Struthio camelus: one gene and its partner. The protein of the gene in region 1 purifies or fractionates together with the protein of each later gene. This does not show direct contact. Links are inferred from orthologs where the notes say so. Each region holds a gene or a part of one and is shown on either strand. Other genes may lie near its edges.

Evidence for each region.
Region 2: the proteins of EIF4A2 (region 1) and EIF4G3 purify together in Homo sapiens (affinity purification with mass spectrometry; 3 studies listed by BioGRID and IntAct, with this or other methods). This does not show direct contact. The link is inferred for Struthio camelus from reciprocal best matches to the Homo sapiens genes EIF4A2 and EIF4G3.

Annotation. Positions count from the first base shown.
Region 1 is NC_090950.1:23,109,301-23,124,458, reverse strand, and holds the start of EIF4A2 (eukaryotic initiation factor 4A-II), read right to left. Parts: upstream 6,919-15,158; 5' UTR 6,587-6,918; coding exon 6,558-6,586; intron 5,334-6,557; coding exon 5,288-5,333; intron 5,199-5,287; coding exon 5,066-5,198; intron 4,938-5,065; exon of another isoform or gene 4,867-4,937; intron 4,790-4,866; coding exon 4,650-4,789; intron 3,385-4,649; coding exon 3,216-3,384; intron 3,015-3,215; coding exon 2,905-3,014; intron 2,631-2,904; coding exon 2,487-2,630; intron 2,431-2,486; exon of another isoform or gene 2,252-2,430; intron 2,079-2,251; coding exon 1,941-2,078; intron 1,870-1,940; exon of another isoform or gene 1,742-1,869; intron 1,676-1,741; coding exon 1,586-1,675; intron 1,350-1,585; coding exon 1,270-1,349; intron 570-1,269; exon of another isoform or gene 470-569; intron 1-469. UniProt on the Homo sapiens protein: ATP-dependent RNA helicase which is a subunit of the eIF4F complex involved in cap recognition and is required for mRNA binding to ribosome.
Region 2 is NC_090962.1:8,959,743-8,974,905, forward strand, and holds the start of EIF4G3 (eukaryotic translation initiation factor 4 gamma 3), read left to right. Parts: upstream 1-8,086; 5' UTR 8,087-8,101; coding exon 8,102-8,112; intron 8,113-8,425; exon of another isoform or gene 8,426-8,627; intron 8,628-8,687; exon of another isoform or gene 8,688-8,703; intron 8,704-12,135; exon of another isoform or gene 12,136-13,508; coding exon of another isoform or gene 13,509-13,516; intron 13,517-13,650; coding exon 13,651-13,726; intron 13,727-15,163. UniProt on the Homo sapiens protein: Component of the protein complex eIF4F, which is involved in the recognition of the mRNA cap, ATP-dependent unwinding of 5'-terminal secondary structure and recruitment of mRNA to the ribosome. Functional homolog of EIF4G1.

The DNA of each region.
Region 1 (15,158 bases):
TTGGCTGCAAAGTAAGATCTTTATTTAATGTTTGGTACTGTGGTTTGTATGAAGTCTTAGTTCAGTCTCCCTCCCCTCACTAAATTTAAAGCCCTGTACCACATGCATCCAATCCCAAGCATATGGCATAAAAGATCTGTCTTTCAAAAAGAGAAGCAACTATTCCATACATAATCCAACTATATCTAGTATCATGGAACAGCACACTTCAACTAACAAATTTTAACTGAACATACTGTTTCCAGTGGGAAAACTTAGTTTAAGAACAGAAAAAAATCCAAGCTCAACTTTTTTGCGTAAGCACCAGTCAAACACCATCACAATTTAGTTACAACCCACCATCAGTTCTACCTTCCTGTAGAGACTGCACAATAAAGCACCTATTCAGCAAGAGCTAAATACACAAAAATGGCTCACAAAACTTGAACTTAGTGAATAATCATGACAAAAGAAATATATAAATACCGACTCGCTTTATTCAAACTGTGCCGCTTACGAATCCACGTCCTAAATTACGTCAACGCCGTTTCTGAGCACCATCTTGTGTCATCAACTGCTGCTATCGACTCCTGTATTTTTTTACATCAAGTAACAAAGTACAGTTTACTTAATTTAAGGACAGTCACTAAAAGCAGTTAACTAAACCTAGGGAAACAAAAACTCGAATTGCTACCAGAAGACACACGCCACAGAGGAAAGAATCCCACTGTAGAAGGAGCCACCAAGAGCAAAGACAACACACAAAACACAAACACAATTAAACCACTAGGAGTGAAGTCAGTTCTACTGTTCAACTAATCTGCTTAGCTGGTCTAGTCACTGAGTGTATCAGCAGCAACTGAAAATTAGCTATGACCTGCAGATCTAGCTAACATTGCTTTCCAGATGCTATGTAATATTTTTGTGATCATACACCACAACATACATGACAAAGGCAGTTCAGCAGCTGGCAATTCCCCCGTATCTCAGCAATGAATGATTAGCCATCACTGAACTAGTTGCGCAGCTAAGTTTTCCCACTGCTTTTATTGTCTAACAAAGTTCTGCTCCTCCCCCAATTCAGGATCACAACTGTCAAGTCAGTGCTTTTTAAAGCACAAGTAAAATTATTCTCTGCTAGCTTTTTAGCAGTTACTTTATGAATGGATGTGTAACACTCCTTTATTATCGAAAAGGACTAAAGGGAAAATAGGTGAGGTTCTGTGCTGATTTATGTAGAAAAAAGTTGCATTCAGTTTAAAGTACCATCTAGAAAAGCAACAAACTAACCTGTGAATATAGTTTTCACGATTGGTCGGCAGGTCATAATTTATAACCAATGAAACTTGCTGCACATCAATGCCACGAGCCTACAAAACAATATAAAATCTTTAATACAAGTCACAGGTCATAAGGTTAAATTATTTACCCCATGTTTTTGTTGACCACATGGTTAGTGATGAACTACAACTGTGTAGCCCATAGTGGAGCGTAGTCCTTACTCTTCCAAGAAGCTCCGACTAGTTCAGGCTATGAGAACCTTCACTGAATTACGAAGCTTTTGGCACAGCACAGAAAAAGCGTGCAGCCTAAGATTAATACTCACCAGCAAGTCAGTAGTGATCAAGACACGGCTTGATCCTGATCTAAATTCTCTCATGATAACATCCCGCTCCTTCTGATCCATATCACCATGCTGTAGAGTTAAAAAAAAAGAAGTTTCTGTATTTCCAGTACTGGACTATCATTTAAAAAGTAAGTCATGTATGAAACCCAGCGTCCCTACCTGCTGTGGGAGCAAGGCAGGTAGGGATAGAAGGAAGCAGTTTTCTTTAAGCAGGGGGAACGATAATACAGCACCGCACAGCCATATCATAACTTTTCCTGCTTTTCACTCATCAAGATTACTTATTAGTATGTTTATGGCACATCAGAAGTTACATGAAAATACCCGTTCTCACCAGAGCCGAGACTGTGAAGTCCCTGGCATGCATTTTCTCTGTAAGCCAGTCTACTTTTCTCCTTGTGTTCAGGAAAATAACAGCCTGCGTAATGGTCAGCGTTTCATATAAATCACATAGAGTGTCCAGCTTCCACTCCTGAACAAAACAAGATCAGAAAACAAGCTGCAGTTGAAAACCCAGGACTTAAAAAAAAATCCTCAACAAGGAGTTAAGAACTCAAAAGCCACATCATCAAGTAAACATGAACCAGTAAGTACTTATCAATATGCCAAAAGCTGAGCAAGACATCAAGCAGAAGTTTCTGCATCAACTGTTGCACCAAATCTTAAGACACAGGACACTGGACATTAAGAAAGAGGTCCACCCTAGTCATTTTGGATCCAGTGCAGTTTTTCTTCTTCTTGCGTGTACTCTACTAGCATTACTACAGAAACCAAAGCACAGCCTTGATTTCTGTAATTTTAGCACAGTGCTTTAACAAGAAGGCGAAAGAATTTCATTGTCTGAGCTCATCTAACCAGAGTAAGTACAAGTGATACAAACCTCTCTCTCCACATTAATGTAGAACTGCTTGATACCCTCCAGAGTCAATTCTTCCTTCTTCACTAGAATACGTATGGGATCTCTCATGAACTTTTTGGTCACTTCCAACACATCCATTGGCATTGTAGCTGACAGCAACACGACCTAAAATGCATACTCGGTGTTAGTCAACTACCACCTAGGATATCAACTTCAGATCTGTCACTCTGCCTGCAATCAGGAATGCTGACATCATTGACAATAAAGTCAGTAAAAACTGTTACCCACATAAAACCACAGATTCTGACCTGCAAGGTCAAGGCAGACAGGAACAGCACAGAACAGTTTTCACGTGGACATGGAGAATTCAGCACTTCTCCTCAGCTACACTAATTAAATCCCCACCCATAAAAACAGTTCAACTAAAAATGTTTTTTACCTGGATGTTTGTGCTTAACTTTTGAAAAATCTCATAAATTTGATCCTTGAATCCACGGCTCAACATTTCATCAGCTTCATCCAGAACAAACATTTTGATCCATTTGGGTGCTATTAAAACAGAAAAATTCATGAAGTTTCAAAAGTGTATTGAATACTTCTATTAGTAACTGTCCTTTCGAAATTAGTCCAGGACAACTTTCTACAATGGTTGCAAATGCATCTCTTTAGTCCTCTTTCAAGGCATGACATTCATAATTTTTAATCACGACTAACTTTGTTACTACAAGTAAAATTCAACCCAATACTTACAAAGGTAGCGTCTGTTTAGCATATCAAACACACGCCCTGGAGTTCCAACCACAATGTGCGGAGCCTCAGCTTGAAGCTTCTGCATTTCATTGCGAACATTTGTGCCACCAATACAAGCATGGCATGTTGCACCCATGTAGTCTCCAAGGGCGAGAATTACCTTTTGAATCTAAAAGAAGAGCTTTCTGTTAGTAGTGGTTCCTGGTACAGTCAAGATTTTAAACCCTGTATCAGTGATGCTTATGGAGTTTGAACATGAACAGAGCAAAGAAAAGAGTATGCAACCCTAATGCAGGTACAGTGAAGATAAAGTTACTACTGATTTTGTCCAATCACTTGTATTTAAGCTGCTAAATTAGAGAATTTAAATGAGGGGAAAGCTTAAGTTACATTTTGGCCCTTACTAGTTGATATAGCTAGAAAAGTGACTACTCTGCATATTCGTTTATGTTAAAAAACACAGCCTCCAGGCATGAACTCAAAAGTTTAACATTTAACACTTGCATGTTAGGCACTTGCAAAAAAAAATCCATATAGAACAAGTGCACTGCTATATGCCAGGCTTCAACCCAAGTCTCATCTCACCCATGTCTTCAAAGTATAAGAACTACGCATTCTGATCAGAGGTTCCTGCTCCACAAAACTATTTCCCCCCCCCCCAAGAGTTCTTGCTCATATGTAATTTAGTACATTTAGTTTTACTTTTAAGGAGAATCTTCACTTAACACACGGACATTGCAGTGTATTCTAGTTGAAAAATAGCAAGCTGTATATAATCCATTTTCTACTCCATTTTGAGTTCTGTCCCCTTTCAAGAATTCTCTTGAAAATTCTCTATTCTCTTAATTTTTAAATCCACTCAAGCTAGGTTTTCAGTTCATCCTAAAAACTGCAGTATCCTATAGCTTTGTTCAAGCACTTCCACCGAGTAAAACAGAACACCACGTCTTGGGAGAGTGAAGTAAACATGCAATATAACATTTGTCAGAAAAACATCACAAGTTACAAAAACAATGAACTGACCACATGCGCACTGCAGTTTTCATGTTGCACAACTGCACGCAAGTTCAAACAGCTTCCAAAAAAGTACATTTTGTTTCCACTCAGAACACTGTGCTTGAATAACATGTCTTGTATTTTGCCATTCTGCTGAAGATGCTCCTTCAGAACTATAAACAGCATAGCAGCTGGTACCTGCAACCCTGCCCCAGAATACCCTCCACATGCATGGCATCTGAACTTTTCAAAAGCAGGCAGAGAACTTGTGGGACAGAGGCCAGTTTACTTCCCCCATCACTCAACACAAAAAGGGTTCTGAATGGATATTAGTTACAGCCCCTTAAGAAGTCTGTTAATTGTCCCACAGTTGTGAAACCTGAAACCTATGCAACACACAAGCAGCTTTTTTTTTTTTTTTAACTACACTATCAATACCTGTTGAGCCAGTTCTCTGGTAGGGGCCAATACTAGTGCTTGGGTCTCCTTGAGATCAATCTCCAACTGCTGCAGGATGGAAATAGCAAATGTGGCTGTCTTGCCAGTACCTGACTGAGCTTGAGCAATCACATCATACCCTAAAAAAAGTAGGATATACATTTACTGCTCCCACACAGGTCATTCATGTTTAGTTTTATTTTATTCCCTTTGAAATAAGTGATCAGTATTAAAGAGTTCTCTCCATTTCAGGTCAGTCCCGAAAGATGGTGTACCATCATGTCACTTGTTCAGTAAGGATTAAAAATCAGTAACATCACACACTAAGAAAGCTAACAGTATAGCCATTTTACAACACTTTCCTAATTATCTGATGTTGCTGTTAACAACAAAGGAGTCGATTATACTTTTCATACCTTTGATACATGGAATAATAGCTCTCTGCTGAATAGCTGAAGGCTTCTCAAAACCATAAGCATAAATGCCCCTGAGAAGGGATTCTTTTAAATTCATATCATCAAAATTGTCAACAATCTCATTCCAATTGCTCTGCAAAAAAGAAAAAAGTCAAATTATTACAACAATCACACTTATCTCCAGCAATGATTAAATTCTTAAGTCAGATCACATGTGCTCACCTCAATGACACCATCGGGGTCCATTCCCTCTGGGCCGCCATGGTCTCTGTCACCAAAAAAGAAGAAACTGTGAACACAGTAGTTAATAACACACGGAAGGGAGCTGGCACTTTGGCTGCCAAAAAGCCACGTTGGCATCACACTGGAACCAGTGAAAGATCTTTCTAGCAGGTGCTTTGATATTTCGCCAGTGCAAAGTCTTCTATCCTCTCCCCACTAGCATGGGTGCCACTAGCCCAATTCCTCAGTCAGCTTCAGTCACTACCAAAGTTCTCAGTGTGACACAGGATCGTCAAAGCCTTCGTTCCGCAGGGAGTCTTCACAGCGGATTTCCGATTTTAGAAAACCGTTCCCCCCCAACAACGTGGCACAACTCCCGATGAACATTAATTCCTATAAAAACCTAGCCGACACGGCAACAACTGCATGTCCCAGTGCACAGCGCCCCCCTCACGGAAGGCATCCGCCCGAGGCGGGGCTCTGCATGCTGGGCTCCGCAGCTCTGGCGAGCGGCAGGGAAACGGTCGCCATTGCGCACTATAAGCCAGCTCAGCCGCAGCGCCAGGCGTCGGGGGGGGGAGGGGGGGGACCCGCGGCTCCGCTGCGGCACGCACCCCCCCCCCGCCCCAGCCGCGTCAGAGCCGGGGAACTCTCGCGAGAGCTCCACCCCTGGGATTGCGCAAACCGGCTACGGTGAGCGAGCGGAGGAAGGCGCCGGGCGAACGCCCAGCGGGCCGCGCCCCTCCCCCCTCCGGAGAAAAATGGTCTCGCCCTCAGCCGGGCCCGCAACCCGGAGCGAACCAACGGCGGAACCGGTGGCGGGGGAAGGATCGGAAAGAGAAAGAGAAAAGAAGAAAAAAAGGTTTCGGGGAAAGGCACCTTTATGAAACTGCCTTTTTAAGCCATAGCGCAACGCGACGAGCGGAGTAAAATAAAAATAGCCCTTTCGGGGGGGGGGGGGAAGGGGGGGAAGAGAAGGGGGGAGAGAGGAAAGCTACCAAGAGAGCCAACGGCGAAGAAACGAATCCCAGGGAAAGGAACGAAAGGCTCGCTGAACCCCGAGGAAAAAAGGAAACGGGACGGAAACATCTAGAACTGGGAGGAGCCGAGACGCCGGGCGCTGTCTAACCGCCCTCAGAGCCCCGTCTCGCGCGCGCGGCCACCCGCCCCTACATCACCTCGCTCCTTTCCCCGCCCCACCGCCTTTTCCCAACTCATCGACCTACCGTACAAAATATAGGGCCCAGGGCCGCAGTGCGCCGCGCCATACCTGCTATAATCCGCGGAGCCGCCTGACATGTTCCGAACACCAGCTCTGTCCTCAACTGAAAAGGCAAAGCCTCCGCGGCGGCCGCTTTATATAGCCACCCGCTGCCGGACTCGTTTCGCTCTTCGCCGCGCATGGATATGCGTCTCACACCACAGGAAAAAAACCATGAAAAACCCCCGTTTGAGGCCACTCCGCAAGAGCTTCCCCTCGACACACTTTACGAGATCCTCCACAGAGGTTTCTGAGCCTCTCGGGGCCAAGAGGTGAGCCGGAGCCTGGCACTACTTTTCCTCGCGGAAGGATATTGCAGCATTGACGGAGTGACTGCGTCTCCCTCCTTCCTCCTTCTCCGCCCCCCCCCTCCCGCTCCTGCGCACGGGGTTTCCCACCCGGCCCCTGCTGCAGTGCCGGGGGGCGGGGTAGAGGGGGAGCGGGGCGGGGTGGGCGCTGCGTTTCCCCCGCCATGTCAGCGGTCTTGGAGCCCGGGGCTGGGCGCGGGGCACCTGGCTTCCTCGGGGCGGTGGAGCTGGGCCGCGGGTCGCCCTCTCCGCCCCCCCCTTCCCCGGCGGAGCCAAACGCAGGCCGCAGCCCTCCCCCTCCCCCCCCCCCCGCAGTCCGGTGAGGGGAGCGGCGGCGGCGGCGGCGGCGGGAGGCCGCGAGGTGACGGGAAGGAAGATGGTGGCGCCGGCGGCGGGAGGGCGGGAGCCCCCCCCCTCTCCCCCCGGCCGCGGCTCCCTGCCGCCGCGGCCCGGCCCACGCGAGCGCTGCGGTCCTGCGTGGAGACCGCCCCCGGCGTGAGCAGACAGAGCCGAGCCGGCTCGCCTGTGGGCAGGGGAGGCGCAGGCAGCGATGCTTCATCTTCCTGGCTCCGAGGCGGCAGCTGACTGAATCATGCAGATGGTTCTGGGGTGTTAAAAGTGGAACATTTTTAAACGGGCTGAAGGCCTATTTGGGGAGCGTTTGTGGGAGTGAGGCAGAGTGCTCGCTAGGCTGCTGCTCAAAACACGGCGCGGTGATGTGCTGCGGCTCGTGGTGTAGCGTGAAAAATGCTGTCAAGGCCCGTGTAAAGGTTAGTGCAACCTGAAGTCAAGCAGAACCGTGCCGTTAGGGGAGGCGTCGTCGTGCGGACTGAATCAATGACACGGCTAGTGGCCGTGCTCCTTGCTTTCAGGCCGTTTTAGAAAAAAAAAAATACTGATCCTTTTAATACACTGATCAGGTTTTTACCGTTCATCGGTATTTCTTAAGTAGGCAAATAATATAAGCTGTAAGCAGTGTTTCCCTTCGTTTTGATGGGTTTGTGTGTGTCACTTCTGAAGTTGTTTCCATAGTGATTATATATGAACAAATGGAGTCAATGCTTGAAAAACCCAGCCTTTTAGGAATTATCTAGAATATCCATAGAGAGAATCTTTGAGAGGTTAAATATATATTAGCTCTTTTCTATGGTAGCCTCGACTGGGGCAGTATTATCTGTAGAGATAGCACAGGATTTGTCAACATCCCAACTGAATGACAAAAACATAGCTCTTCTGTTGATCCACCATAATGCTTTCAAGTTTCTGCCCACGTTTGGTGGAAAATATCGAGGATGCTTCTTGCTTCTATTTGTAATTTAGGGAGCCCCACAGTAATAACTGGGGGTCTTTTTAAATGGATGATAGCAGATTACGTGGAGCCATAAACCGCAAGTTATCAAAGAAACGGGATGGACTGAAGAAAGAACGTTGTAGGGCACAAGTTAGGGCAGGCATGGTTAGATTTCCTATTAAAAATGACATTGGGTCCAGATGGAAGAAGTAATGCTACTCAATTCTTATTTTTGAATTAAGAATCATGAATGCTTATTAAGAAAGCAGAGAATGTATATACATATTATTTAAGTATTGCAATTAGACCTTCGTATATCTGCACACCTAAGTGAAAAAGACGTGTGAGAAGCTCAGGAAGGTACGCCATCGTTTTCCACATACTTTAAATGTATTTTTGAAACAATATTGCCATCTTAGAATTAGGTGTCTAGTTTTTTTTTTTTTTTTTTGTCCTCTGTACTACAGAAATTAAAAAAGGAAAGAGTTTGCTTTCATTACCTTTAGATAAGCAAAGGGTTGGAGACACTGAATCAGTTCTGTCTTTATGTGATGCACTATAGCAAATATCCGGGATTGTCATCCTGGTAATGACCATAACTATACCGGAGATAAAACTGGGAACATTTTATACTCTTAAACCTTGTCCGTGAACACAGTGTTTGAGAAATATCTCTTTGATGATAGTAGGGCAAACACACGTTTTATTTTTGATCTCATACCTAGTTTGTGTATTCGTACAGACTGGAGGTAGCCATGGTCTGCCTGGGGTTATGTCTATTATGAACATGAAGCATCACACTGAAAAGTGTCAAAAGGTAACATCACAGACAGAGTCTTGGATTAATACTGGAATTTATTATAGCCTCCTCGCTTTAAATCTTAGTAAACTTTCTAGAGCAGTTTCGACTGAAAACTTGCTGCCTACGGACCAGGTTCATGTTATTGTTAGGCAGAAGAGATACCAAAAAGTTACTAAATCAGTGTTTTGTCTATCCTGCCAGTATTAGGATCCATGGTCACAATTATATGCGCACGCTGTATTCTTCAGTGGATGTCTCTACAGAAGACAAATCTTGGTGAATCATGAGACCTTCAGTGAGAGTGAACGTAATTACACACTTATTAACACAGGGTAGCAGGTGGACTGGCTGGTTTAGCAGCTGGGTTTCCAGTCATTATTCACGCAGACTGAAGTAAAGAATGAAGTATCTAAAGAAAACGGTAGGAGATGACACCTCCCAAAACTGGGCTTCAGATGAGCGGTCCCTGCTCATCAATATTCTGGCAAAGGCAATGTTACTGTTTACATGAGAAAATTTCTGAAATCTCATTTCAAAAAACTTATACCATGAGTTAAATATACAGTGAAACCATTGTGTACTCCCCTGGAAACCGGAAAGGTCCTGAGTTCCTCTCCTAGATTTGCAAGTCCTGTGTTAGTGCACATAGCACCTCTTATTTGACTGCCACAACTAGCAGGGCAGAGAAATAATTGTAGATGGTCAGAGGTTATTCATAGCAGATCGTGTTGAGGATCAACATGTCCTGTTAGGGTGTTGTTAGCAAGAGGTAATGTCTTTCAATTCATCATTGCCAACGGAACCTACCTAAGCAAAGGCATGCTTCCTCGGACGTAGGAGTGAAAAGCAAAGGCATGCTTCCTCGGACGTAGGAGTGAATAGCAAAGGATTCTGGAAAATCTCCAGGAGAGAAAGACTAAATTCTAAGAGACTCTTGCTTGTTATTTAAATACAGTCATAGGGTTTCATTATCTACTAACTTAAGCTCTTTTGTCATTCTACTGAAATCATAATCTAAACAAACTAAATAATAGTAATTCGTAAGATGCAGTGACTTTAATGCACCGACAGGCTTCCTTTATATCTTTAGTACCTCAATGTAATGTGAAATCCACATTATGACATTTTCAGTATATTAGGCTGCTAGGTTTGTTTTCTTGTTCTTTTGCAAAGTTATTTTACAGCTCTGTTATGAGCTGAAAGATATTTCTGCTCTTTGTAATCAAACTTGTTTGTGTTGTAAAATCTCAGTTATGTTCTCATCAAGTGAGTGAACCTCCAGACAAGGAATTTTCTCTCCTGATAGAAGTTTCGTCTCGCTGAATAGTTGTGCTTTAGGCCAATACGGAACGTTTTCAAAAATGCTTAAATAATTTAGGAGCCGAGCACTATGGAAAACCAGTGGGATTTAGGCCACTTAATTTAATTGTCCCACGTGCCCAATCTAGTCAAGCTATTCAGACTCCTGTGAAGGACGTGGGTTGGATAGGGCCTTTTGCCTACCGGCTGACTCTGAAACGTGTGCATGGTGGTTTGTGGCTTGTGCTCCTTTATTCCCTAATAGCTTCTGAGCGCAAGTCTCCAAGGAGTGTCCTTGCTTCAGTTTTGCATAATTTTGTTGATTAGTGGAACCTGGGAATCTCAGCTATATCCCAGAGGGTCAAAAATCTAGCCAACTAAGAAAACTTAAATATTTCTTATATTTGTAGGAGATAGCTATCATTCGATCCAGTGCCCTTTGAACTCGTGAGAAGTTTCCTGTTGCCTTCAATCAGCATTAGGTTGGGCTACTAATAAAAAAAAGTAATATTAATTTAGAAAATAAATATTTCCTTTCTAAAAGGAAGTTTGTAAATTGCTGTTAATTCTTCAAACAAATCCTAAATAAGAAAACTATAAAGAGGGACCATTTATGGTGGTCTTGTGATTTTAGTAACTATTCAGGTAATGGGAAGAATGTTGGCACCGTAAAATCTCAACCTAAGTACTTGCAAGAGAAAAACATTTTTTTTCCTATGATTTTCTGTAGTTAGTCATTCAATCCTCTGCGTGCTATAAAACTCAGTGATCATAGTTTAAAGTCTTGAATGTTCTCCTTGACTGAGAGGTTATATTCTTTCTTACTAAGGTTTGTAGCTGGGCCCAGGGCACAGAGTCAGCTTAGCTCTCTTCTCTGTTCCAGACTTCCAATGTGACCATAATCATGTAATTTTAGCACTAAAGCTGCACAGATGATATTGATTGGACTCTTGCCATTGATTTTTATTGGAATAAAATCAAAACTTTGTCTGCACTTCAGTTTTCCCCTCTTTAAAGTGGGGGTAATGGTATTTGCCTCAGAGGTTACGTGTGGGCAGATGTTTGAAAAACATTGAGATCTGTAACGGGAGGAGGCTTAGAAAGTCTTTAATAGAAGTTGTATGCATACTTTCAGGGCAGTTTGTTCTTTCTATTGCAAGAGTAAAGAAAGCTAGAGAGATTAAGCAGGTGGCAGCTGCTGATAACATCCTGAAAGAGTACTGTAGTTGCATTTATTTTTCAAGTGAATTGGAAGACTTCTACACTACCATGAAATGCTGCATGTCACATATTTCTGTTAGATGCAGTGTGCAAAAAACAGATTTTTTTTCCAATTCTGAGAAAACGTAATTTGAGCATATGCATTCTTTTGGAAAAAATAAAGTCATTGACATGTTTTTCCTTCTGGTGTTGGTTAACCATCAATGTAATTTATTTATTCTCACGGTTGTTCAATTTGGAATCCACTGATGATACTTGAGATCTTTAATTGCTGCGCTGATTTCAGTCACTTCATTTCTGGAACAGCCGCTACAGGCTGACCTCTTCTCTGTGTTTATTTTTGAGAACCTTTCCTCGTTGATAAGAGGTGAATGTTGTTTATGTTTTTATGAGGGGGAACTAATGCACGTGAACCAAACCAAGAGGAAAACACCAAAGAGGCAAAATAATTATTTGCTTTGATACAGGTATGTTCATAGGATCAGGGTTATGGTAAAATGAAAATCTCTAGTCTTTATTGTACATATGCCTACCCTCATAGGTATTCATACACTGTATGTTCTGGCCTATGAGACCAAGTCATATGACTCTGTCCTTTCCCATCCAAATTGTTTTTCTTAGATATCAAACCAGTCACAGTGTGCTTTGCAGAATTCATGTGCAGTGGTATGAGTTATGAGGGCCCGTCTCAGATTAGTGACAATAAAATGGCTACGTTTTGTCAACTGATATAGGAGTGCACAGAAAACTTAGGTATGAGTGTCTTGTCAGGCTGTTATTGTCAGAATATTTAAAACAAGTACTTCTCTATACAGCAAGATTAAGGTATCACAGAAATTATTTCATTGCTCTTGAACAGAAGACCTTTCTCTCCATGTCCAGCCCTCTGTGTGAGCAAATTTAACTGATGTCTCTGTCTGCTTCTTTACCACAATATTTTAACCTCCAGAGCAAAGTATTTTGCGGTTTATAGAGCTTGTTTCAACATGTAAATGTAAAGAATGAAGATAAATACTTTATCATTAATGAAGTGAGCTATTAGGTCAGAGGTATTACGTCAGGGTAAACCTTAATTTCTACAAAATGGAAGTTTCTGTTGAGCTTAAGTTTTAGAAGAAAATGGAATCGAGGCATTTCTGCAGGCTCTGAGTTTTGGTTCTGTCATGGAACTGGCTCAGGATGAGACTGTAGATGAGTGGTTTGAGTTTTGCGCCCTAGTGTCACCTGCCTGTCAAAATGGCAACTATGATCTCCTGTTCTAGCAGGATCTCTTAGACTGTAAGCTGTTCGAGGCTGGGACCGATGGCCGTGCACGCTGTGCTTCTGGCTACAGCAGTCAGCGCTGCGTGGGGAGCTGAGGCTCTACCTGGGCAAATGTTAACAAGTTAATCAATGTAAACACCAGGACACTGATTTCTTTTCAACCCTTTTGAGATTTTTTTTTTTTTTGAATGAAAAATAATATTTAAGGCTTTTCTCTTTTACAGTGTTAAAGACACGTTAGTGTCATGATTGGGTCTTGAAATGCCTACTCATGAAGTTAAAGCTGTCAAGTGGGCTACCAAAGCGTTACGTTGTAACTTTCATGCTCTGCTCTTTGTAGTTAGTTTTTAGTGTTAGGGGGCCTCTGTAGGCCAGTCCTTCTTCCCAATCCTTTGTGCTTTAAGCCATCCCAGAATGCCATTACATGTTGTTTTGCATTATGAGCGTCTAAGGCCAGATGAGACAAAAATGAATATCTAAGGTGCAAGATGGTAGGGAATCCATTCTTTTCCTTTCAGGTTGCACCCAGATTTTCCCAGAGTCCACTGATGCCAAGGACAAGACATCCACTAGTGCGAGCACCAATAAGATGCAGGTGATCACGCTATTTTAGCCGGAAGTAAATGTGGCATTGCTTGTGCTGATCCAGGGCATGCACTTTAACACACATCATGTCATAGCGATTGGCAGTTAACAAGAAACCTTTGTTCATTACACAGCAGGAGCCAGCAGTGAGAATTCACATTGAGTTACAGAAATATATTGATTAATTTATTTCCTACATGTCTTGAAAGTAACTATTTTATAATATATTGGCATTTTTGCAATCAAAAAATAGGTGTACCTCTATTCAAAGTAGTTTTCTCTGGTTCTAGCTAGTTTTACTTACGAGTTTCTGATAATGTGTGTTTCTGAGTGTTACACAGCTATTTGCTGTTGTATTCTGCATTCATTCATAGCCCATTTTTCTGATTAATTTAAAAGTAGAAAAGTCTGAAAAATCCTCACTTCTAAGCAAGCTGATACTACAGATATTCAGTAGCGACCCAGTTACTGGTTTTTTTCTTTGCTCGCTTTTTTTGTCCTTCGTAGCTTGTATTATCATTTCCAAATATACTGTGATACATACTTTTCCATGGATGGCAAGACTAAGATTTCTCCTTCTATTTCAGCAGGAATTAAATAAACCACCGATTTCATGTATGCATTAATATTGAATAAAAGACTCAGTTAAACGATGACAAAATATTTACAGCTTTCAGGACCTCATTTGGATGTGATATCTTAAGCTCAGAGTTTTCTCTTTTCATATTGCTAGCCATCAAAGCTCAGTATCACCAAGGTGATTTTACATAGCTTATCTTCATTACACGAGAGGAATTATCTGATTTGCTTTACTACTGTTCATTTGCATTGCTAACATTCAGCTCTTCTGGGAATACAACTTTGTATCCCCAGGAATACATTTTCTTCTGAAATCACATCAGACTTGTCCTTGCTAATTTGCTGTGCTAACAAACCGTGTATCTTCATGCAGAATGGAAGGAAAAAAAGTGAGAGCCGTTAAGGACTGCTGGCTCAGAGCTGCTGTTGCCATAGAGCTGCTGCCGAGGAAAAAACTGCAGCATGGATTTCTTCTGCTGTTGAAGGTAAGATGAGGGCACAGCAAAGACTGTAGGAGGGGGAGGGGAGCAGAGAGAAGGGGAGGGAGAAGAGGGAAAAAGTGTGCGTCCTTGCTGTCTAAAAAAGGAAATTCGGTTTCAGTGTTCATGAACAGAACTGCTGGTGCAGAAGAACAAAGCTATCAGTTGTTTAGGGTAGTAAGAGTGATGAGCAAGCAAGCGCACTCCCATGCTTTCAGAGGGAAATACTGCAAAGGAAGGAAGGAGTAGAAGAGTGACTTTATCATTTATAAAATAGTCACTGCTGCTTCAAGATAGCTGCTTTTTGACGCTACTTTGGCATTAATATTGTTCTACTGGGTAAAGACAGCTGTGAAAAACTCAGTATGTAGATAAGCAAGAAGAAAAAGTTATGCTACAAATTTTCAGTATAATCTTGAGCAGATGAATTCCGTCTGTATTAGAATGTATCAGTTATGTTCAGCTGTAGTGCTGTGAAACTTCTAAATGCGGTAACTGTATTTACAGCAAGATTATTATGATAAACTGATCTTTGAATGTGCTTTAAAGTAGATGCGTTTTGTGTGAAAATGGATATACTCAAGAATACTCGTGCTTGTTCTTACAAATACAGAACTGACATCATACTTGCTTTAGGGGGAATTTTGTGAACGGGGTGAGCTTTGTAGAGCAAGACTGTCCGTGATTTTTACAGAATTATCTGCAAAGTACTCATCCCAAAAGCTGCTGCTGACATTTCTACATCTGTTTGGCTTGCCCGTTACACATTGCAGCTTTTTGCTG
Region 2 (15,163 bases), on another chromosome or scaffold:
TGTTAGGATTAAACAGATTTACCTGTGAGCCGCAGCTGAAAGGGGTGGCTCTGCTTGCTGCCTTCCCTAGGCTGCATATTCCCGCTAGCTGCCTTGCGTTGGGCGTCGGGACCCCGTGCCAGGATTTGGTGATTGCAATCAGCTCGTGGAATTGACAGAAAACTTAACTCAGCCAAAAAAAGAATAGTTTGCTGTTGAATCACCGGGCTGAGTTGGGTCACTGCCGTCATATGATCGTTAATCCTTATGGCAGGGAGGTGGCAGAAGCATGGCTGGTGTGGGGTGGCTCACAGCCGCTTTCAGAAGTGGTCAGCAGCTGGGCTGCTTTGGGAATGGCGTGAAACTTGACCCTTAAAAGCCAGGAAGCGCCATGCCCTCAAGGGCGATGCCTTTGTTTTTCCCTTTTTCCAGGGACCCTAGGTCTGCCCTGTAACCTGGAATGGTTTTCATGTGGCCCTTCAGCTAAAAGTGCTGGCAGAAGGCTTCTAAACGCCACTCAAGCCGAGCTGGAAAGCGAGGAATAAATCACCTTTTAAACCATAAGCTCAAGACCCTTTGAAATAGCCCTTTCTCTTCCCCTGGCTGCCCACCGAAACATTTACTAATGAAGGAATTGCTGCATTTTGGCCACAGGACTTGGACTTCTCCCCGGCTGTTTCTGGCTGGCACCAGACTGATCCAGTCACTTCACAAGTGTGGCGGTAACACAAGATGTGCATTTTAAGAGCCATGTAAAATGGTAAGAGCCACTAACTTACTTGCATGATAAATGTTGCTGATACCCTGAGCCTGCGCATCATGAACAGAAGCTGGTATTTTTAGCAGACGGAGTGCGGAGCTTTCTACGGGAAGGGCAGCGTTAAGCAAGGTGAGCTGGTGCGTGTGTTTGCATCTGCAGTCCTGTTCTAGAGCGTTTCTAGAGGTCGTTGGTAGGCAGTCTGCAGGCTGACGTTACAGGTGGTTTTATTCCACAAAATCGGTATTTGGGTGACAGGGAAACTTCAGAACTGTGCCTCGTTTCAGAGACTAGCAGGGGCGGAATAGCTGCATAAAATCTTCTAATTAGAAGCAGCAGCTGAGCTGTTGGGACTTGTGAGCTGCCACTAAAATGCTGATTACTTTGACGTGCGAGAATGTCTGGAAGAGCCTCTTGATCAGAAATTGCAAAGGTTTCTCCTGTTGGAATCAGCTTATTGGGATATATTTGTGTCCAGAGTAGCTAATCCATAAGTTGCTGAGTTTCCAGCACTGGGGTAGAAAACCTGCTGTCTTCCTGCCAGAACGTGCAGGTGTTTGGGTCACCTGGGAGCACAGAAGGTGATTTGGTAGATGCTGCCAAACTACAAGAATAATTTTGGGAGAAAAAACACAGCCTCTGGTCACCAAAAAGCCTATTACTTACCTGGTTTTGATGATTTTTACATTTCTGCGTTGATATTCATAACTTCCAGATTGTTAACGGGTGTTTTGTTCAAGCCTGCCAATTAGCATGGGCAGCTCTTCTGAAGTGGTGAGCGTAAATGAGAAAGAGACGGCCTTTCTATAACTGAGAAGGAGAAATACTTAAAGCTTCAATCAGTACCTTGATGTTACCGAGGTCTTTTCGCTTCCAGTGCTCTAACGTGAGTGAGCAGATGATATCAAAACGGGTCATGCTGCTTCCGGTAGACCAGAGTGGGATGCACATGGGAGTGGTGGACAGTATCTTCTACCCAAAGAAAATGTTTTACAGCCCACGCTGTTATCTTGGCTGCCTCACCTTGCAGCTCAGCGGCACAGCTGGAAACAAAACTGATGCCTTCTAGTTCAGTGCCGCACCACCAAAGCTATGTGGCGTGAGCTGCATCTGAAATACCTAGGACATCTTCATTTCACGCCAAGTGATGTCTCAATAAAGTTTTTTGCGACCTAAAGTTAGAGCATTAAGTATCGTGTAATGCAGCAGTATTTCAGCTCATTTCCGTAGTGTGTCTACCTGTTCCTCCTTTCCCAGCCTCTCTGAACTTCCATCATTTGAATGGATGTCCCAAGGCTTTTATGGTTTGTAAAACTCTTGATGGCTGTCAGGCTGTGAATTCAGTTACTGAAGGCTCCCCCTATTACTATTTTGTTATAAGATAATTGTTTCTTATACAGCATCCGCTTGCATTCTCATTTGGGAGTGAAACACCTTGGGTGGGGGGGACAACATTTTTTGTGGTGGTTTAAAATTGTAGTAATTTTTAGGGTCACTGAGTTCTGTTTAAGTCAGGCTCAGCAGCTGCCTGTAAAGTTAATACAGCCCTCCCTTGTATGTCATATGCCACGGATGCACTCAGGGAAGCTGTTAGCAGGAGCGTCAAGAGCATTTTATGGTGCAACTTGCATCTCTGCTGGAGCAAGCAGTCTCGCTCCCTTCCCTGCTGCTTGGTCCGGTCTGCCTGCTGCCTCCTCCGTTACGCTGGCCTCGACGTTAGCGTGGCTGGGTGGCGAGCTAGGGTTGGAAGAAAAGGTTCGTTTTAATCCAAATCAGATCCGTGGTCTGGTTCAGCGAGCAGCTGTGAGCGTGCTTGTACTGGCACGGGGCAAACGGCAACGAGAGGACAGGACCGCCTCCTCTGGCAGCGCCACTGCCAGATGACAGCTTACTGCTATATCTTGTCTTGTGTCCTGCTGCCTGCAGGCATGTGCTATTTAGATTACATGTCTGTGACAGTAATTTTGCTTTGATACCACCTGAGTCCTTGCAGATCCTATCTCTGACTTCCTTTACCCCAGGGAGCCTTGAGAGCAAAGTCTTGTCTGTCCTCCCTTTGGGTTAGGAACTAGCTAGAAATAGCTCGGAGAGCGTCCAGCCACCCGAGTCATCTATAGAGGTGTGCGTTCATGCCGTAGGATGCTTACAGATATATTCTCGTTGTTATGACTACATGTATTTATCAGTTTGTACATATTTTAAGAGAGGAAATTATATCTTGGTGTATGGCCTCTGAAGATGACAAAGGAACAAAAATCAAGGTTTGCCTTCGATATACGACTGTAAAGGGCCGCACCACCTAAACCTGTTGTTCCCAAGTGGGCAGAAAGCGAAGGAAGGCTTAGTGAGTGATTCGAGCAGCACAGTCGCACACGCCTGGCAGATAAGATCGGTAATACTTTCATTTACTCTTAAGAGATACTGCCCAATATTGCATGGCATGAGCCCAGCTTCCCTGGTTGGCGCTGTTGGGTGTAATTTTTGGGGCCATGCTGCAGGCTGACGAGGTGCACGCTGTGCCAGCATAATGCAGCTCCGCTTCAGACTTGTTTGGTGTATTTTGGAGCACAGCCTTCATCTGGCATCTCTCCTTGGGCTATTGGCCCTTGATGATTCAATACGTGATCCTCCTTGTAGCTTATGGAGAAGCCTCCAGGGCTCAACCAGTGCTTGTCACCGAGCCCCCTGTTCTGTCTCCTTTCTACCTTAAATTTTTTGTCTCCTTCAAAGGTACCTTAATTTGGGATTGTGGCTGGAGACCTTCGAAGCCGCTCTGAGCAATGGGAGCGGTGACCGAGCAGGACAGGCCTCTGGAAGACTAGTGGGTCCCTTTCAAGTTCCTAAGCATAGTTTTTTCTTTTTTTTTGCAGCGTAACAGGAGTTTTAATTAATACAGATACGTGCAATCATAAATAACGCTCTTAAAATTAAATGGAATTTTAAGGCTACATTGGCATATTCCTCTTGATGCCATTGCCCCTCTAGAGAGGTAATACCATGAATTTCCAGCTGAAGGGAGTTGATGAAATCTATTGACTTTTCCATCGCTGCTGAGAGTCCATATATTGTAAGAATAAAATATGAATAAAAACATTGAAGTGCTTGATGTTCTGCAGAGAAAAGTGCACTGTTAAACAAATACAGACTTATTTTTAAGCAAGTCGGCTAGTGAAAAGTTTTCTGTGCGCAAGCATACAGATGTCCATGCCAGAGATGTGTTTCTGGCACTTCACTTTGCGTTATCTGCTACCTCAGCTGGCACAGACATGAGGCAGGGAGGGGTTGTGATATTTTTTCCCTTTATATTTTGCAGCTCAGGCCAACCCGGGGTTTAATCTCTCTCAGTTTGGGCTTTGAAAACCCATTTCCCGGAGATGCTGTGGTTAAAAACACACACAGGACAAAGCTCACAACCGCACGGCTGTTCAGTCGTTCTGCTGCCGCTCGTGATGCGCGGCCCTGCGTAGAGCAACCTGAACCAGCCCTACTTCTCTGTCCTAAAAACCCCCACCAAAAACGCACTCTGAGAAAAATTCCAGCAGGATTAGCAGGGTTTATATGCAATTCCCCCCCCCCCCCCCAAAAAAAAAAAAAAACCCACCCATTCTGGCCAGGTCTAAGCTGAAAATAGGAGCTTTGCTTTGGCACTTCAGCTGCAGTCAAAAAAGACAGAGACTAAGTAACCAAATCAGGTTGCCCTTAGAAACGCGTTTGTACTGGGCAAAATAATTGATTGGATTTTTGTCGCATTTGCACTGATCGAGTATGTTGGCTGACAGCTCCCCTGATAACTCACTCCTGACGGCTCACGGGCTGAAGGAAATGCGTCGGGGTGAGGCGAGGTCTGCGGATGATTTACGTGCTAGTGAGCTGTCTCCATTTCTTTTTAATTTAGAGATGCAAAACTGAGCCTGAAAGTAATGAGCTCCAGATAATTAGGTGCTTGTCTGCAGGTGTAGCTATTGCAGCTGCCTACAGCTGGTGCTCTTAATATTGCTGATTTTTATTTTAAAATATTACGGAATGAATGGGAGGCTGGAGATGCAGATAATTTGCTGCAAAGAGTTGGGTTGTTCTGTCCCTCACCTCCCCAGTTTTACTTTAGCGGTCCTGGCTGGCTTGCCTGCGAGGTGTATCGCACATGGGCTGAAGACTGCAAGGAACGGATGATGATAAGTAGCGGAGTATTGTGTTATACGGGGGTGGCGGCGGGAATGCCTCGAAGACTGATGAAAGTCTGATCTCGTTTATCATCATTAATGATTAGCCAGATGGGAAGCGGTATCTCTTGCCTTAGTATTAAAGGGGTTGCGAAAGCCTTGCTAATACAAAAATGCAGTGCAGTATGTTACCCGCAAACGTTAGGAAGGTGAGTGCAGAGCAAAAGGTGGTGCAAAATGGATGCATGCCAGAAGAAAAAAATCAATAGTAGGTATTTCATGAGGTGGGTAGTTTAAACAAGTGCTTTAGGTGGGGGATTTGGAGATGGGTTTGGGCATAAATAGTATATGCGTTTTTAACGGTATGGTGGCTTGCTGCTACAGTGCAGCTTTAGCACGTTTAGTCAGGAAGAAGCGTTGTGTCGTGTGTCAGGCGGTGTGTGCCGTCCTTAAGCGCACGAGTACAATCATACGCGTAAACGTGAATGCGTGCAACTGCGGACGGAGGGGAACGTTCTTCAGGAGGCATCAAAAACCCGTCAGGATTAACTCGTGATGGAAAAGGCGAAGACATCCGAATAGCTTGAGGAGCAGTGGCAGGGCTGGGAGAAGGAAAGGGAAACGGTGCTTTTCGGTAAGCGTTTGAAGGGCGCGTTTTGCTTTCAAGCTGTAGTTTTCAGAGGAGCCTTGGAAAGGCCGGCTTCCGCCTGAGGTGCGCTGGGATGTGTATGCCCCTTTTCTTTTGAAAACTCTTTAACTGGGGCTTTGTTCCCATTCAGTTCAGCGTAAGCATAGATGGGTGACCTGATGTGGCAGGCGGGAGGCAAAGGAAGCGTTTGGGAATCATATAAAAGCTAGTTCCAAGATTAATGATACGTTATTGGGTAAAAAGCTGAATTTCAAAGATGAATCTCAAGAAAAGTTTTAGGATGGGGAGCTTCATTTAAAGTGGGGATAAGTAATGAAATTGCTTGCCGTTGGGAGACGATGCTTTAAGGAAGAGTACCTCAAAGGTAGAGGGATGGACAAGCCTTGTTTCCGGTGAGCGTCAGCTAGTGCAAACGGGGAGCAAGGAAAGGGAGTCCGGCAGCCGGTAACGTCAAACGAGGCAACTGCGGTGTCTAATGGAGCCAGTGAGCTCGTGTGAAACGCGAGCGGTATTTATGTAAGTACGTGTCTGTTACAAAAACAAAAGGTGCACTTTTAAAAAGTATTTCTTGCCAGTATAAAATAATGAACAATTTGGAGCATTCTGTATTACCGTTTAATGCGCAGAGTAAGACTAGGGATTAAAAAAGTGGCTCGCACAACACTTTGTTGATCCGCTTCATGTTCTTACCTTTGGCAAATGGCAACTCGGTCGCGAACGGTGACTCCACGTGTTGCGGTGAGAATCTTTCTGTTAGGCCAGAAAATGTTGAAACGAGCTTAATAATGGCGTTTGCCTGAAGCTCAGTTTGTGTATAAGTAATTCTAGGAGCCAGTGACTCCTGAGGTGTGGTTTGCATCTATCCACAAGAATAGGGGTAAAACGATGTACTCGTCTGTTACGTAGCTTGGTGATTTCAGGCAGTATCCCCACGATACATCCCGTGGGTGCCACTTGAAAAACATTTGTTACTGTGTGTTTACGTTTTTTGAAAGCATTTGACTAACTAGAAATAGGTTCTTGATGTCAGAGTTAAGTATTAGCATACAGATGACGTGGTTTTCTAAGGAATTCACCACCTATGGCTCCTGCTAACTTTGGCAGTGTTTCTTCTGGGTGTTCATTCAAGGAAAAGCTGCCTTCATTTTTATTTCTTTTTTCCCCCTCTGATAAATAAATAAATAAACGAACAAATGCAAACCACTGAAACAACAGCCCTCCGTTACATGCTGACCTATGATACGGCCAGCGCTCTGAATCGTAGTTTATTTTGACATCCGGTCGCTGCGGAAGAGTTAAGTTGCAGCCGTCGAAGAAAACTAAAATAAAACTACCGTTTTACTGCAGAAGGCCGACTCGTTCTTTTGAGGTTCGACTGACGTGCCGTACAGACGGTAAGCGCCTAGTTAATCCTCACGAGGATGAGCAGAGCCCCACCGATGTATTTCACCTCTCCAGAGCATGGTCGCTTGAATTTGTCTCCATCCTTACGTGTTATTTGGCCGACGCTGGGAGCGTGTGGCAGGGTTTGGCACGGCCTGAAGCAACGCTCTGGCTTCGTTCTGCTTCGGTGGTCGAGCCGTGTGGCTCCAAAATGTTTTAAATGAGAGTGGCTCCTGAAAAGAGTGAGACTGTGTTGTTGATTTTTTTTTTTTTTGGCTTAAATTTTGTTGTAAAAGGTGTTACGTGGCCGGGCAGAGTGCATCGGTGGCCCGTGTTGGGACTGGGATGTGCCGTTGGAGCAGGCAGTGGAAAGGCTCGAAGGAGGCTTGAGCAGCAGCCTTGGCTGTTGGTTCCTCCCGACCCTTTAGACGTTGCCCAAAGTAGCTGAATCACGGTCGGGTTTGATTTCCCTGAGTTAATGGTCTCGCGTCTCTCTTAGTAAGAACTGCTTAGCTCTGTAAGTCTGTGCGGTGCTGGATTTCTGTAAGAGCTGGTAGAAGAAGCGAGGGAGGCAGGGGTCCCAGGGGAAAGACAGCGTGCCCTTGCGAAACTAAGGGCTCGGTCCTGCACATACACACGAGGCAACTGAGTTAAGGTTGCATGAGCCGCTTTAATCCTGGCGTTTCCTAAGTCTGGGGCTGTTTGCTTTGTGACTCGAATTGTCCTCGGATGAAGCTTGCGGGCTCGTAGTGACTATTTCGTCACGGGGAGAGCCGATGGTGCTGTTTTGATCTGGTCGTTTCCCAATGCCCAGCATGTGACATGTCACTTGGTAGGTTGGTTGGTTGGTTGGTTGGTTTGTTTTCAAGGCGGCAGTTTGTCTTACCCGGTTTCCTTGCCTCGGATCCTGAGAAGCAGCCCGTCAGGCGGGGAATTTATTCCGCGGGGAGAATTGATTCGTGAAGCACTCGCTAAAGAAATGGGCTTGCGGCGGCGGCGCCTGGTAGCGCGTTGGGGGACAGCGAGCCGTCCCTCTGGACCGGGAGGCCGCCAGAAGCAAACGGCAGAGTGCGTTGCTTGAGGGAGTTTGTGCCGTGATTTAATTCCCCTCCCGACAGGCAGCGCTGAAGTTTTCCATGCCCTTCCTGTAATGCGGCGTGCTCGCCAAGCGCAATGTGCTCTAGGTGAGTTTGTTTTATTCTTTGTTTCTTAAGGCCGCGGCTTGGTTTGATTTTACCCCAAGTAAGGCTAGCTCCCTCTCGGCGCCGCTAAAGCGAGGCAGCGAACGCAGGAAAGCGGAGCGGTCGCCGTTCTGCCCCGCGATACGAGTGACGTGCAAAGGCTTTCTCCGAAAACTTGCCTCTGCCTTTCTCTCCCCTGCCACCCGGCTGCGCCCGCCAGTCTTAGCTTAACGGCGCTGCCTCCTTTGCGACCGCTGTCGGAGAGCGCGTCCCCTGCGACCGAAGCGGGGCGGGAGCGCTGAGCGCGGCCAGCCGAGCGCGGGGGCTGCAGGTAGCGCCCGGGCCGCCCGTGCGCTACCGCTTTAAGACCGCCGGCGCGAGAGCTCGGCTCCGCCGGCGAGATTCAGGCGCTCAGAAGGAGCAGCTGCATGGCACGACCGCGGCCGTAGGCTCCGCTTTCCGGGGGGAGAAATCCCTCATTCGGGACGCCGTTTGCGGAGGCTGGAGCTTGCTGCCAGGTAGGATCGAGCTGCAAAGGACGGGCTGAGGCCGAGGAAGTTTCTGCGAGCCGCCGCGTACGGCGCAGCCTTCCTTGTAACCCTTTAAGTTAGCCGTGCAGTCTCCAAACCTGCTTCAAGGCGCTTCTGCTGTTAGCATCGCCATCTCCTGTGTTGCAGCTGAATTTAAGACGGAGAGGAGGCTGCAGGAGAGATGCACGCTCTTTTAACTGCTCTGGCTGCTGCCCAAATGCCTCCCTGCGTAGAGGGGTTTGCACGGTTCCTTGCACCAGAAAGCTGGCGGGAGCGATGAGCGTTGCAATTTGCAGGTTCCTGCCCCTCTGTAATCTTGCATGATGGTTTTATCTTGCATTTTTCAGACATTTAATACATAATTTCTGTACAAGCGGGAACATGCACAGGGATTATATAACCCTAGGGAGAGCTGGTGAAAGACTTGCTACGTTTCCGGGCAAGGATAAAAATCGTTAGTTGTGGAATGCTTTTGTATACAGGTTTGCATATGTGCCCTTTGGTCCTCACGGGTATTTTTATTCGCATGGAAAGATGCTTGCTTGTTACAGTAAGCTGCAAGTGAAGAAAGGGGCCATCAATGCATGCGAAGGATAAAATGGTTGCTGCTGAGCTTAGGTGAGAAGCACCGTTCTGGGGAAAATGAATCCATTTTGGACGAAAATACAACAGCGTTGTTTCTGCTTGGTCTTGGAAACAGTAGCACAACAGGGAAACCTGTACAAATTCTTGCCGTGAGAGCCTGTTTTAGATCTTGGTACGTGCTTTTCGGTTCTCCGTGGCCTAAATCTAAAAGTGCACAAAATCTTGCAGTGTTTCAGTTCTGTAGCATTGTTAGAGCAAAAAGACAGGCGTTGCACAAGAGGGAAATTCCTGCAAGAAATTCCTCCTGACTTTTATTTAAGTCCTCTGTATTTCTCAGTGCCTCTGAATACTCCAGCTGCCAGGCAGTTCTGGTTTGGATTTTTTTTTTGATTGCCTTAAAGAGAAGTCTCATCTTCTCACAGTCCTCAGAGTGTGGTTATGACTGTCTAATTAAAATATAGCATCCTTCTTTCATGGCAGCTTTTGGGTTTTAGAAAAATTTGATTTTGCTTGCAAATGTTACTCTCTCTGCCTTCCTTCTCCCGCTGGGTCTTTAATAGTTCCCCACATTCCCCAGCTTGCAGTCACTGTTGCAGCCAGATGGGGACTAGGTGGAACTCCCCTTGCATCTGAGCTTGCTTTTATTAATCTGCCAGCAGTATCTGAGTTGTGTGGGTTTTTTATATATCTGTTTCATGAGTTAATGAGCCCTAAGCAGCAACGAACAGAATCCAGAGTTAGTATTAACTGCTGGCTGTCGTCCTTCTGACTCTGCTTCTGAGTTTTGGCTGGACACTGATGGAGGATGGAAAGCTGTAGAGAGTCATTAAGCCTAAGAAGCAGAGACTGTAGTTTCCACTTTACTAACCCGTCAGCTGCAGAGCTGATTGAAGAGGCTCCCTTTCGCATCCACTTGTTCCTGCTCTTCTGCTTCATTGCCCACCCCATCTTTTCTCCCTGCATTGCTGGAAGGAGCTGGGAAAATGGCTTGAGGTTTGGGTTTAGTTTTGTTTTTCAACCCCCCTCTCCCAGGTTTTTGCGTTGTTTGTTTTTTTTTTTTTTTTTGGCATGGATCATTTCCGAGATCTGCACAAGTGCAGCTGAAGAGGATGGCAGTGGATGAGAAGGTTTTTGGGAGGAGGAGAAGGTGGGAAAGTACAGGATCCTCCTGAATTGGATCTAGCCGTACTGGAACAGCGATGTGAAAGAGGTGCCTGAATTATTCAGCATATCCCTGTTTCCTTTGCACTGTAGCTAAACTCTGCCATGGAGCCAGCCTGGTTTTACGTTTTAACTCTTAAACTTCCCTGTGTCTGATGCGGGGAAGCAGGGGGGCAGCGTTTGCACAGTTTGCCTCATGTGTCGGGTTGTGGACCTCTTCATCGCCCCTTTCATGAGAGCAGTGCCTCCAGAAGATGATCTGCTCTGAGGGGGCACTGTCTTCTAGATGTGGCTGAGTGACCTCAAAACGGATGTCCTTGTCAAACGTAAGGGGGAGTGAGGGTGGTCACTCCTACCCACGGGGAAGGGCCAAGCTGCCGGAGGCAGTAATCTTGTCCACTGGCCCAGCTCTTTGCAGAGCGCGTGTTTGTAGACACCAGAAGTTAGAAGTTGGAGATCACCTCTTTCTCCAGCCATCCTATCTCATTAAGAGTTACTGGAATTTAAAGCATTTTTGTCCCTGTCGGTGTCACGTCCAGGTCAAGTCTTCTAGCAAAAAGGACTTGCAGGGTTTCTTTCTAATCTGATGAGAGTTATCGCTTTCCAGAAGCGATCTTAAACGGCAACCCCAAACTCTGAAAATTCATCTAAACTGCTCGTTCCTCGAGGCAGCCCTCTTCCTGGGTGGAAAAAGAGGGGTTGCTCTGCTCAAGGAAGATTATTTTCTCCTGGTTTGTATAAGTTCTAAAATAAGAAAATAAATCCCAACCTCTTTGAGGATGAAGCAGTTTTTCCAAACTTGGGAATGATACCTTTTGAAGTACGGCTTGCTTCGATTGGGTGTCAGAGCTGCCTCAAGATGAGAAATCTCTGATGTGACAAAAGGGTGGCAGTTGGAAACAGCGCCTCTGCCCTCTCTTTCTTCATCACCAGGTGGTTTTTGGTTACGCTGGGTCCGAGGACAGGGCGTCAGTGAGGCGGCATGCAGAAAATGTGAGGGTTTTGCTCTGGATCCCCCCGCTCCCTGTGCAAGCGCAGAGTATCTCTAGCCAGAATCCGCTTTTAATATTTTCACGTTGTCTTTTTCCTGCTTTTCTGGACTTCGTCGCCGTCCTCCACGAAGTAGGCGACGGGGTTGCTCAGGCTTGCTCGGGCAGTGAGCCGCGGAGCCGTCCTGAGTTGCAGACCAGGGCTCTGATCTTAGATCTTCCTTCAGCTCTCCTGCTTGTCGTGTCTTGCAGCACGTTTCTAACCCCTAGTCTTGCCTTTCTGTTGGTGCTTCCCCGAAAAAAGAAATGGATGTAAAATCCTCAGGGCGAAGGTCAAGAGCGAAGCCTTGGCTCCGCTGAAGGCTGCGGCACGTCTCCCCGTCGTTTCACTGGAGCCAGGATTTTACTTGTCGTTTTGCTGTTAAATGTCCGTAAGCATTATGTACTTCTGTGATGCTGTGTAAGTACTAACTTCTAATATTGTTCGTCCTCCACTCGAGAAGCTTGCAATTTTAAAATTTAAGCAATCCGTATTCAGTGGGACTCATTTGATCCCCTGGTAGAGGAACAAGCTCCCGTGGAAATCGACGGGAGTCGCTCACGTCCCCGGGGGCAGATAACAGCTCCGACGCGTCCGGGTTCGGCGCTGCGGCGATGGCAGGTAGGAAACGGCGCTCTCCTGCGCGGGGAGCTCGGCTCCGGCCACGGAAAGCGGTAGCACGTGGCCTTTTGGAAGAAAGGACGGCTCCGCGTTTCCCGTGGCCGGCCGCAGGAGCTGGTCGGTTCACAGGAAGTTTTTGTTCCCGTGTGCGGGTAACGGTCCTCGCGAAGAGGCCGGCTGGGAAACGGGAGCATTGCTGTTCTCCCCTTCCCGTGCCCCAGACCCGGTACAGTGACCGCAGAGGGCAAGGGTTGCCCTTCCTTCTTGAACAGGGCACCAGGAGCTGCTGAGGTGGTTGTGATTTGGCTTTGTGAAAACAGCGTTGGTCTTGTTTTATGCCTTGGGCCGAATACGCCCGCTAAAACCTGGTTATTGGTAGCCAGTGATCCCATTTAGGCACGAGCTGGCAGGTGCGCGCATTGGAGACAAACCTGAGTCTAAGAGGGAGCCGTTCGGCCGCAGAGTGCTGCAAACCGTTGGCAGACGCAGAGCGGCTTGCACCTGGACAGTCGTCGTTTCAACCTTAAAATTAAGCGTTTTGCACGTTTTAAGGAAGAGATGGGGTTCTGATGCGTGGGTCGCTGTCAAGCGCTTTACGGGGTTGGCTGTTGCTGCTGCTGTGCTGCTGGGCCCAGTCCTGCAAAGGTTTGTGCAACAGCATCTCTTTGGAGTTCACAGGTGGAGTGGAAAGAGAGGGCTCTTGTAAGATTGAACCTCGTTCAGACCGAAAATTTAACTTACCCATGGGGTTGGGTGTGAGGCTTGACGTATAAAACGTGAAATCTGAGTACGGCTTTAACTGGAAAGTTTTTTGGCAAGTTGAGCCCAGCTCCTGTGGCAGTGGGAGTCCGGCGTTGAGTAGACATGTGCTGGACCCAGGGCCACAAAACGTTAGCCGAGTGGGGTATTTTTTAATTCTTGCATCCCCTTATTTGCTTTATTCCACAAGTGAAATGGCTTCTGGATGATTTGAGTTTGTTTTGTAAAGTCTTTTCTGTCCCGAATTCCCACAATATCTTTCCAATTTAGGAAGATGACTGCAATTTCCCTTTAAATAACCCTTCCAGCAGATCCAAACGTCAAAATCTGTTTGACAGCCCCTTTCAGAAGTGCTTTTGGTGGGTGGATGAGGAAAGGAGTTGCTGGTGGAAGAGAGGCAAACAAGGAAACAATTATAACGCCGTTCGTGCGTGGTTAGCAAAACAGGCTGGGCCTTTGTCAGAAATGCCCTGCTCATCAGCAGGGCTTGTCTCACTCAATGGGACGGGTTTGTGGGGTTTGGGTTTTCCCTTACTCTTAAAAACCAGAGGTAGGGGATTCTCGTGACAAGAGGAAGGTTTCGTGGATGGTGCCAGGAGCTGTTTGCTTTTGGTTTCTCTTGCCGTGTTTGCCCGTGGCATCGGTCGCTGAAGCCCTGCTTGCTCCTTTTGGGAAAGCGCGCAGGACCGTAGCTGCCTGGTTGCATGCGCGGAGATGTTCGTGTATCTTCTCGAGCCAGGAGGGTGGCTGGCTGCAGTGACCACCGCCGCCGCGGGTTCGGTTTGCGCCCTGCTCCCGTCCCCCTGGAGCACGGCCCCTCCTTCGATGTTGTTTTCCTTAACTCGCTGTGTTGCAGACTCCCCCGAGGTCCCGTGCAGCAGCCCCTCGAGGAGCGGATCTTCACGCCGACGGTCTCCGCTGTGTACAGCACTGTGAGTATCTGCGCCGGGTCCTGCCGGCTTTGGTTTGCTTTGGAAAGGAGCGAGTGAGGAAATCATCGTCTGTTTAAAGAGGCGGGGGGGGGGGGAAGGGGAAGAACTAACTTGATTTGCCTCCTAAAATAAACAGTTGTCAGTGATTCTGGAGGAATGCCATTTTTGTTGCGTGTGAACAAATGAGAGGATACAACAAAACGCTCTTGTAATGCTGCCTCGGGACCGTTGGGTCCATTCCTGTTTTGGTAAGGGTCTGCGGTTTTCATTAGCAGGCGTTATAGAGTGGGTTTTCCTAACTCAGTTCCACTGAATCGAAAAAGTTGCTGGCCGTATCGTCAGGCGGTTTGCTCCATCCCTCTTCTGCCTCCTGCTTCTTGAAGACTGGCTTGATGCGATATATTAGTTGCCACACAACTCTAACAGTATCTTATCGGAAAAATAACCAGAGATTTGTTTTTCTTGTTAAACACCCCGTTTAGAGTCATGTAGCGAGAGAAATGTTTTGGTGGCAGACTGAGCGAGCGTTCAGGATAGGTGCTTTTGGCTCCCGGTCCTGCGTGTTTGTTTATAAAGCTTTGTTATCGAGGAAATTTAGCCTAGAAATGCAGCAGTGTTTATTTGTGAGCATATGATACCATTTTGTTTTTATTCATAGCTTTTCTCTTTTTTTCAAATAGTAATAGCTGGAAGCACAGTATGATTTATAAGCTTTGCTAAATCAGCACAGCCCTGGGAAAGTAATATTTTGCTTTTCTGGTGGGATAGTGCAAATAGTTTTAATGTCAAAAAAAGGCTTTTAAGCGGCGCTTTTAATTATTTGGAAAACAGGAAGAAAGGCTGTAGATGCGAGAAATTCACTGTATTTTATGCAGTACCATAAGCTGCTTATAGAAAAACATAAGCTGCTGTACAAGGTTTTCTCCTTTCCCTTGTGTGCATGAGTAATGTGCGAAGGGGTTATCAGCTACATCTCCGGAAGGGGCAAAAAAGTCTTCCAGATTTGCACCTTGTTCGTTTTGGGCTCTGGAGAAGAGCTTTCCAATTGCCTCTCCCATGTGCCAGGCTCCTGTCAAGTGGTGGCAGGCAAAGTTTTGTAGAACTGAGTACGAGAGCGATGCCCGGGGCCTGTCGGCCCAAGAAACGCAGGGCCTCGGGCAGTAGCGGACGGACTCGGACTCCCTGGGATGGTCTCGGGGCCGGCCAGCAGCGGATTTCCCTGCAGGTAAGTTGGAAAGGCTGGGGAGCAACGCTGGAAAGAGTCGAAGGTTTTGAGAGTTGTGGCTCGTACAGCGGCAGATGACACACCTGCGCTGCTGGCTGGCTTTTGATTTTTGCTAGCAGTTTTTTTTTGCTCTAATGGACACTCTGTCCTCCGTATCATATACACACACACATATATATATACACACACACCCCCATACACAAATGTAAAAC